Linked DNA regions of Sus scrofa. The protein of the gene in region 1 purifies or fractionates together with the protein of each later gene. This does not show direct contact. Links are inferred from orthologs where the notes say so. Each region holds a gene or a part of one and is shown in the gene's direction. Other genes may lie near its edges. The genes, in order: POLR2D and RPRD1B.

Evidence for each region.
Region 2: the proteins of POLR2D (region 1) and RPRD1B purify together in Homo sapiens (affinity purification with mass spectrometry; 3 studies listed by BioGRID and IntAct, counting the BioPlex papers as one, with this or other methods). This does not show direct contact. The link is inferred for Sus scrofa from reciprocal best matches to the Homo sapiens genes POLR2D and RPRD1B.

What each region holds. Positions count from the first base shown.
Region 1 is NC_010457.5:59,478,150-59,482,556, forward strand, and holds the start of POLR2D (DNA-directed RNA polymerase II subunit RPB4), read left to right. Parts: upstream 1-1,481; 5' UTR 1,482-1,552; coding exon 1,553-1,625; intron 1,626-4,407. UniProt on the Homo sapiens protein: Core component of RNA polymerase II (Pol II), a DNA-dependent RNA polymerase which synthesizes mRNA precursors and many functional non-coding RNAs using the four ribonucleoside triphosphates as substrates.
Region 2 is NC_010459.5:41,092,440-41,097,024, forward strand, and holds the start of RPRD1B (regulation of nuclear pre-mRNA domain-containing protein 1B), read left to right. Parts: upstream 1-1,552; 5' UTR 1,553-2,008; coding exon 2,009-2,159; intron 2,160-4,585. UniProt on the Homo sapiens protein: Interacts with phosphorylated C-terminal heptapeptide repeat domain (CTD) of the largest RNA polymerase II subunit POLR2A, and participates in dephosphorylation of the CTD by RPAP2. Transcriptional regulator which enhances expression of CCND1.

The sequences.
Region 1 (4,407 bases):
TCTTGAATGAAAATGTGGACAAATCACCCTGTGACACGTTATTGGATGTATTTGTTATCCTCTTTTCTTCTTTCTTCACCTGTTGACTTCTTTCCTGCTGTGTGTGTGCAGAAGATCCAGCTAGCCTTGGGGCCAGCACATGATGAGGTCCGGTAAGCAGTAGGTACTCTGTAAAGTCCTGCTGGGTGGCTAAATGGGAGAAAGAGGCCTACACTGAGCTTCAGAACTACCTCCCATACCCAGCAGCTACCTGTCCCCAGCCTCTTCATCAGAACATCAATCCACAGCTCTGTTGGATTGTGTAGGAAAGCACTTTGAAGCAGTAAAAAGCTCTGCCAATACTATATAAACTACCATTGATTTACCCAATACATCTCTTTTGGAAATACAGATAGAAGGCAAATTAGGAGTTCCCGTCGTGGCGCAGTGGTTAACGAATCCAACTAGGAACCATGAGGTTTCGGGTTCGATCCCTGGCCTTGCTCAGTGGGTTAACGATCCGGCATTGCCGTGAGCTGTGGTGTAGGTTGCAGAGGCGGCTTGGATCCCACGTTGCTGTGGCTCTGGCGTAGGCTGGTGGCTATAGCTCCGATTAGACCCCTTGCCTGGGAACCTCCATATGCCGCAGGAGCGGCCCAAGAAATGGCAAAAAGACAAAATAATAATAATAATAATAAATAAATAAAAATTAAATTTAAAAAAAGGCAAATTAATTTTGTAAAAATTAGTCTTGTCTGGTAATGCCTTTTTTTGTTAGCAGAGTTTACATGATACTTAAGCACTGTTCATTGCTGAGCCAAGTAGTGCACTATGATTATTCCTTTCACTGTACAACCATCTGTTTTCTCTCACATTGGAAACAAAATCATTTTTCATTTGCTTAGTTTTCTAAGTATCACCCAAATATTCCATCAGGCCTCTCGATATCACTATCCACGTGCTCAGAAGTATTAGAAAAATCCACTACAAATAAAAAATTTTAAATGCTTAAGGCTATAAAGGAAATCATACGTTTTCAGTCACCTACCCAGCTTCCCATCAAGGAGAGTTCCTCTCGTTCCAGCTGCTCGGAACCGCGCGTTCCTGCATCTCATCTAATCCTTCCCTCTGCCCTGGGAGGCAGGTATTCTCATCCACACCCCACAGGTGAGTTAACTGAGCCTCAGAGAGGTATAGCGACCGGTCGCCACGCCGCGCGGCGAAGGGCGTACGGGGGAAGAGGCGAGGATGGCTTCTCCCGCGAGGCCAGTGCAGGACGGCCCCTCGGCGATGAGTGAGCCCCGCAATCCCGGTCTCGGGCTCCTTTCCACTTCCTTGGGAGCAGCCTAAGGTCGCTTCACTCCTCTCTGCCGCCTCCCAGCTTCGCCCGCCCCATCCAGGTCCCGCCCAGCCCAGAGGTTCCGCCCAGCCCAGAGGGTCCGCCCACATGTGGGGGCCTGCTCAACCCTATTCGGACTCCGCCCTGTCTCCGAAACCACGCCCCTTCCGTGCTGTGTTTCGTGGATCGGCGCTTCCGTTTCCGGCGGTGCGAGTGGAGGTTCGTGGCAGGTCAATGGCGGCTGGTGGCAGCGATCCGCGGGCTGGTGATGTAGAGGAGGATGCCTCACAACTCATTTTTCCCAAAGGTGCGGCCTGGGGCTTCCCGACTATCCCGGTTGTCCGGTGTGGTTGGCGTAGGCCTAGCTGGGGCTGGCGGGCGCGGCGAAGGGCCGGGAGGAGGGGGATGCAGGCCAGCGGGGAGCGGTACGGTGAGAGCAGGCCAGCTTGATTGCACACCTACCGCTCTGGAGCCTTCGGCGCCCAACTCCGCACTGGCTCTGGGCGGCCTCTTACTCCTGTTTAAGTAATTCGTTTTATCTGATAAACTCTGCGAAGTTCTGGAGGGATGTGTCAAAGATAAAACCGGCACTAAAGGGGTCAGGACCGATTTTAATCAGTAATATACCATTGCAGTAGAGAAAAGAGTCAAGCGTAGACTAGTCCCAACTTGGATTTGTAGAGAGGTGACTGAACGTTTTAAAGAGAGAATGAGGGAATAGGGAGAGGTGAGCGGGGCTTACTAGGGTCAGGGAAGTGAAAAACTACGAAAAATGGGAAGAACAAAGTATAGCATTTGGAGTGAATAAGCGGTGAGATTCTGCTGTGTAGAAATGGGAACTATATCTAGTCACTTGTGATGGAGCATGGTGGAGGATAATGTGAGAAAAAATATATATGTGCATGTGTGACTGGGTCATTCTGCTGTATAGTAAAAAATTGACAGAACACTGTAAACCAACTCTAATGGAAAAAATAAAAATCATTATTAAAAGAAAAATGGGAAGAGAAGAGTTGGTCAGTTTGAAACCCATTTGGATTTGTTAACTGTCACTTAGGAAAATTAGGCTCCTGAGAGTCTGCTGTATAGCACAGGGATCTGTGTATAATCCCTTGTGATGACACATGATGGAAGATAACGTGAAAAAAAGAAGGTGTATAAATGTATAACTGGGTCACTTTGCTGTACAGCAAAAATTGACAGAACACTGTAAATCAACTATAATAATTTTTTTTTTTTTTTTTTTTTTTTTTTTTAGGGCCGCACCTGCAGCATATGGAGGTTCCCAGACTAGAGGTCTAATCGGAGCTGCAGCTGCTGGCTTATACCATGGCCATAGCAACATGAGATCCGAGCCGTGTCTGTGACCTACACCACAGCTCACAGCAATGCCAAATCCTTAACCCACTGAGCAAGGCCAGAGGTTGAACCCGCCACCTCATGGTTCCTAGTCGGATTCATTTCCACTGTGCCACGACGGGAACACCAAAAAATCAGGTTCCTACCCTCCCACTTCTGCTCTGGGCTGGGGATGGGGGCTCTATCTCCAGGAGGTGGCTGGAATAAATAGTGAATTATTTTGGCAGCCTTTAGTTTTCATAGGCAGCTATTTTATTTTATTTTACTTTATTTTGTTGATTTTTAGGGCCACATATGGAAGTTCCCAGGCTAGGGGTCAAATCCGAGCTGCAGCTGCTGGCCTGCAACACAAGATCCGAGCCTCGTCTGTGACCTACACCACACACAGCTCTCGGCAACACTGGATCCTTAACCCACTGAGCAAGGCTGAGGATCGAGCCCGATTCCTCATGGATGCTAGCTGGGTTCATTACTGCTGAGCCACAACTGGAGCTACTTATAGTATAGTTCCTGTTATAGGCAGTTACTTTAAAGGAGCTAGACTCATCCCAGGAATGCAGTTAGAAATCATGTAATCTTGAGCTGTTAGAAATCATGTTAGTGTTTTGTTCAAGTCTGTGGGCCAAAGTTGAGTCCTAGCCAAGAAGAGGGTGCAAAGGATTCTGCCTAGAGTTTGGTCAGAGAGAGAATCTTTGTCACGTGGCAGCAAGTAAAACACATTTTTGCTATCAGGAAACTTCCTTTGTGCAGTGTGATGTACTTAGTTTGTAATTTAGAAACCCAAAATGAGTAGAAAACTTAAGATATTATTTATTAAAAAATAAATAAAATGCCTTTTGTCTTTTTAGGGCCGCACTTTTGTCATGTGAAGGTTCCCAGGCTAGGGGTCTAACGGGAGTTGTTGCTGCTGGCCAACGCCAGAGCCACAGCAATGTCAGATATGAGCCACGTCTGCAACCTACACCACAGCTCACCGCAACACTGGATCCTTGACCCACTGAGCGAGGCTAAGGATCAAACCCGCAACCTCATGGTTCCTAGTCAGATTTGTTTCCGATAAGCCATGACAGAAACTCCTAGAAAGCTTAAGATTTTAAAATGTCGTATCTTAGGAGTTCCCAAGTAACTCAGCAGCAACAAACCTGCCTAGTATACATGAAGATAAGGTTTAATCCCTCACTCACTCAGTGGCTTAAGGATCTGGCATTGCCATGAGCTATGGTATAGGTCCCACGGCTAAGATCCCATGTTGCTGTGGCCGTGGTATAGGCCAGCAGCTATAGCTCCGATTGAACCACTAGCCTGGGAACCTCCATTTGCCACAGGTGCAGCCCTAAAAAGCAAAAAATAAAATAAAAAATTACTATATCCATAGTAAAATGTGAAATTCCCCTCCCTTTCACCCTGAGGAAACTACTGTAAAGTTTCTAAACTGCTCATTTATGAATACATACATGTACATTCTTTTTCTTTGCAAATGTAGGATTTTGCTATAAAAATTACAGATTTTTTTTTTTTTTTTTTTTAGCCATATGTGCAGCATGTGGAAATTCCTAGTGCAGGGATGAAACCTGTACCACAGCAGTATAGCACTGGGTCCTTAACATACTGCACCACAAAGGAACTCCTCTTTTTCTTTTTTAAGGTGTTGTAACAAAGAGGGAGGATGTTTTCTTTTCTTTTTATTCTTTATAGGGCCGCTCTTGCGGCATATGGTTGTTCCCAGGCTG
Region 2 (4,585 bases), on another chromosome or scaffold:
ATTTTATACATGCGTGTTTATCTTCCCCTGAAGAAAGTAAGCTTCTGAGGGTTCTGTCTGTTGCCCTAGAACGGTGCTTTATATGTAGGTGCTCAAAAATTACTGGCTGAATGAATAAATGAACCACTCACTGCCTCACAGTGAAGAATTTGTGGATAAGATAAACTTGATTTGATTCCTGGTTCTGTCATTTCTTTTGTCCAGGTGACAGTGAGTTCTCACTCATGTATTACGTTTTCTCACCTATCAAATGTGATCACAGCCCCCTACCCCAAAAGGATTAAATAAAAGAATATATGCAATGTGCTTAATACACAGCAACCTGGTATAAAAGTATTCAGTATATAACACTATTACTTAATACAGAAAGATGGTCTAGATTTGGACTCAAAGGCCCTAGGTTATAATTATGACTGTGTGATTTTAGGCTCTTCACTTCTTTTATACTAATTCACTCAATCAGCTATGAGTCAGCTGCTGGAGTAAAGAAGACAGTCCTTTCCCTCTAATCTTCATTACATGAACTTGGGTCGGTCACCTTAACCTTTTTCAGCCTCACTTTCCACATCTGTCAAATGGAAATAATATAATACCCATCTCATAGTTTTGTTGAGGATTAAGTGAGTTACTATGTAAAAAGAGCAGCTGCTCACTTATGTTGGCTTTGATTGTGATGATTCTAGTCTGGCGGAATAAAAGCATCTAAGCAAAGGACTACAATACAGTGCAGTAAGAGCAACAACAGGCACCAACTAGAACAGTGTCTCCTAACTGGAATCTGCCCACAACAATCAGTTCCCCTAGGATCAAGACATTTTAAAACTCTGTTATGTCTACAAGAACCTAACTCCTGCCACCACCCTGCAGCAGTTTAGACAAATTTTTCTGATTTGACAACTGGGATTTAAAACTTTTTAAAAATAGGAAATGGGCTCAGTCTCAAATAGTGTTTCTGGAAGGTCAGTGAACCCACTGACTTCCTTACCTTCCTCTCCCCAAGTTAACATTTTACTTAAATTGAAGCAACAGTCCAAAGGACCCCCAGAGGGCAAAGACGGTTTGTAGTCCCCTGAAAACACCAGCCAAGAGCCTAGAGCCCCGAAGTGTATTTTATGGCGGTGCTCTCACAGACTAACATCAGAACTGGCCATTAAAGGCTGGTCCTGAAGGCCGAGCGGGAGCCCACAAGCTGAGGAGGGGGACGTCACCTTTGTAGAAAGAACAGCAAGAGCTAAAGAGTGAAGGCGTGAAAAGTGCACGTGGGTGGCGTGGAAGAACCAAAAAGCTTTTTGTGGGGGGCACCCAGAGAGCAAGACATGTATGGAGGAAAAGTGCGGGCTAGGGCCTGCCAGGTGAGGGAGAAATTCATCCCATCCCCAGGTCATGATCTCTCCGCCTCAGGATTCCCCTCTAAGGGCTCCAGCTTGCGGGGCTCCCTCTAGATCGCGCCACTCTCTTCCCTTACCTCGTCTTCCAGCCTTTCCCTCACTCTCCCGCCTCCTCCGCCCCGCCGGAAGTGACGCGTAACTCGCGCGCCGCACCGCTCCGCGCCAGAAAGGTTCCGCGATAGCGGGAGAAAGGGTGCCAGGGCGACTCACTGCGCCTGTGTGCGGGCGCGAGCGGTCAAAGCGCTTTCCGGAGGCCGCCGAAGTGCTCTCGTTTCCCGGTCTGTCGCTTTTGGAGTGCCCCGAGCGAGATTTAGAGAGGTCTACACCACCGGAGCGGTGTTTTTCTACACTCTGACTCCTCTTGGTGCCCCGCCACTCCGGCGCTTGCCCTTTGACCCCGCTGTGGCGGTGGGGTGAGAGGTCGGTGGCCATCTTGTGGAGGCGGCGCGGGCGGCTGTTACTGCGGAGACCCATCCCCTCCCCCTCCTGGCACCCCCGCTGTCTCTCAGTCTGTAAAGAGTCGTGCAGGCCGTCAGGTGAGGCCCCGGCCTCGTGCCGTCACTCTTCCCGCCGCTCTGGGCGGCCTAGGCCGCTCCTTGCCGGGCCTCACCGCCGCCACCATGTCCTCCTTCTCCGAGTCTGCGTTAGAGAAGAAGCTCTCGGAGCTGAGCAACTCTCAGCAGAGCGTGCAGACCCTCTCCCTGTGGCTCATCCACCACCGCAAGCACGCAGGACCCATCGTCTCAGTGTGGCACCGTGAGCTCCGCAAAGGTAAACACCCCCTCCACCCATTTGGGTCCTCCCCACGGGCTGTCTTCTCCCCCACCCACTCCTTAGGCCCCTCTAGCTTTTTAGTTGAACCTGGCTTTCCGGGCCTGGGCCTCTGAGTGACTGCTCTTCGGAGGTTGAAAACTGTGTTATCCACATTTCTCGGAGAAGGAAATCAAGTCCGGGAAGGTACTTGTCTGAGGTTCCACCGACCAGAGCTCAGGACTCTCGGTTCACCCAGCCGTTTTTCCCTCCGGCTTCTCCTGACACTTGTGACTATTATTCTCTCGGCGGCGTTGAGCGCCTGGTGGAGGGTACAGGCCCTAGCCTGTCGTGTGCTAGACTCTTGCTGGGCATTTGGAGTAAGACCGCCTAGACAGAGTCCTGGCTCAGCCACTTGCGATCTGAGTGATATCGGGCAAGTTTCTTCTCCCTTTGCCTCTATTTTCTCATCTGTCAAAGGAGGACAAGGGTAGCTGCCACTTACAGAGACTTTGTTCTGTGCAAGTCACTATGCTAGGACCTTGCATATCTCCTGGCACTTAGTCCTCAGCACTGCCTTGGGAAGTGGGTACAATCACTGCCATTATAGAGAAGTTAAGGGGCCCCACCACCTAGACCTTGTCTCTCAGTTTCTCCTCTTCATTTCTCATGCAACTCTTCATTGGTTCGAGACCCTGCTCAGGATCTGACAGTCATTGATTGAGTTCAGCCTGTTATATGCCAGGCGCTGGTTTGGGAGCTTGATAGCATGTTGGCTGCAGAGGCCAACTGCCTGGAATCTGGGTCCAATTTTGCCATTTACTAAGCCCCCGAGGTTTAACCTCTCTCTTCCTCAGTTTCCTGATCTGTAAACTGGAGATGATGATAACTGCTATTTATGTGCCTTTGTTCTGTGCCAGGTGCAGTACTGATATCTTTACATATATTGTCATTTTTTATTTATTTTCTTTATTTTATTTTGTCTTTTTAGGGCCGCACCCGCAGCATATGGAGGTTCCCAGGCTAGGAGTCTAATTGGAGCGGTAGCTGGCCTATGCCATAGCCACAGCAACACTAGATCCAATCTGAGCCACATTTGCGACCTACACCGCAGCTCACAGCAACGCCCGATCCTTAACCCACTGAGCAAGGCCAGGGATCAAACCTGCAACCTTCTGGTTCTTAGTGGGATTCATTTCTGCTGCGCCATGATGGGAACTCCACATTGTCATCTTTTAAATTCTCAGAGTTGTATAAAGTAGGAGCTTGGCAGGTGAGAAAAAAATGGAGGCTCAATCAGCCTGTGGTGTGGAGTAAACAGATAATCCAAGTGAACGCCTAGCATGTGTCAGGCACAGTGTAGGCACTGGATTAATAAAAGCGAGGTGGGATACTGATTACTCAGTGTGGGGCATGTTTTTTGCCTCAAGTTGCTTGCAGTCTGGTCGGGGAGGATGGCCATCTACACGGCTATCTGAAACGCCAGTGAGTTCCGTAGCAGAAAGCTGAGAAGATGAAGCTTAGCGCTGTTTTGGACAGCCTGTGTGTGGTAGGCCCATGAGAGCTTAGGAAGTAACTTTACATGTGTTCTCTGCTATCCGTGAGGTTGGGGTGTCACTCTGTCTTACAGATGAGGAAACTCAAGTGACTAAGTGGTATTTTCAAGGCCTTAGAGCCACAGAGGCTCAGACTACATCAGATTGGCAGACCCAAAATCCAGTATTTTTTCAGTTCTAGTCCTCTGGCAGACATGCCTCAAATATTATATGCTTTACTGTGGTGAGGGTCCTTTCAAGCACTAGGTGGTTGGGGGATAGAGCCTGGGGCTCCCAGAACCTCCCTCATGTACCCCCTTGTGCCATTCAGATATTTCTGTCATCAGAGTTGTGGGGAAAATTTTTGAAGTGCCTCTACAGGATCCTCTGATAGGATCTCAGAGGCAGGTCAGAGGCTATCTCAAATGTCTTCTTTTGTGAGGTCTTCTTGATTCCCCACATCACCCTATTTGAGTTATCAAAAGTAGCAATTTAAAGAGTACTTTTGTTTATGAAGCTCCTTTAACCCTAATATCATCTCGGGGAACCTTATGTTGTAAATAGGCCAGCATTATTATTCCCATTTTATAGATGAGAAGATATGAGGAGATTAAATATTTTGTTAAGGAGTATATAGTTGGGACATAAGCCCAGAGTTCTCTGACACCAAAACTTTTTTTTCAAGTATCCAGTGCATCAGTGCACTTAATACTTCAACTCTACCTGTAGTGCTTTTGTTTATTAGAATTAACCAGCATTTATTTCATTCATACTAGTTATGTCTCTTTCATAGAGGGAGAAACTAGACCCTCTAGTTGTAATGTGCACAGCATTTAACAGTGCCTGTTACAAAGTTAAAAAATAGGAGTGGAGTTCCCTTGTGGCACAGTAAGTTAAGTATCCAGCAATGTC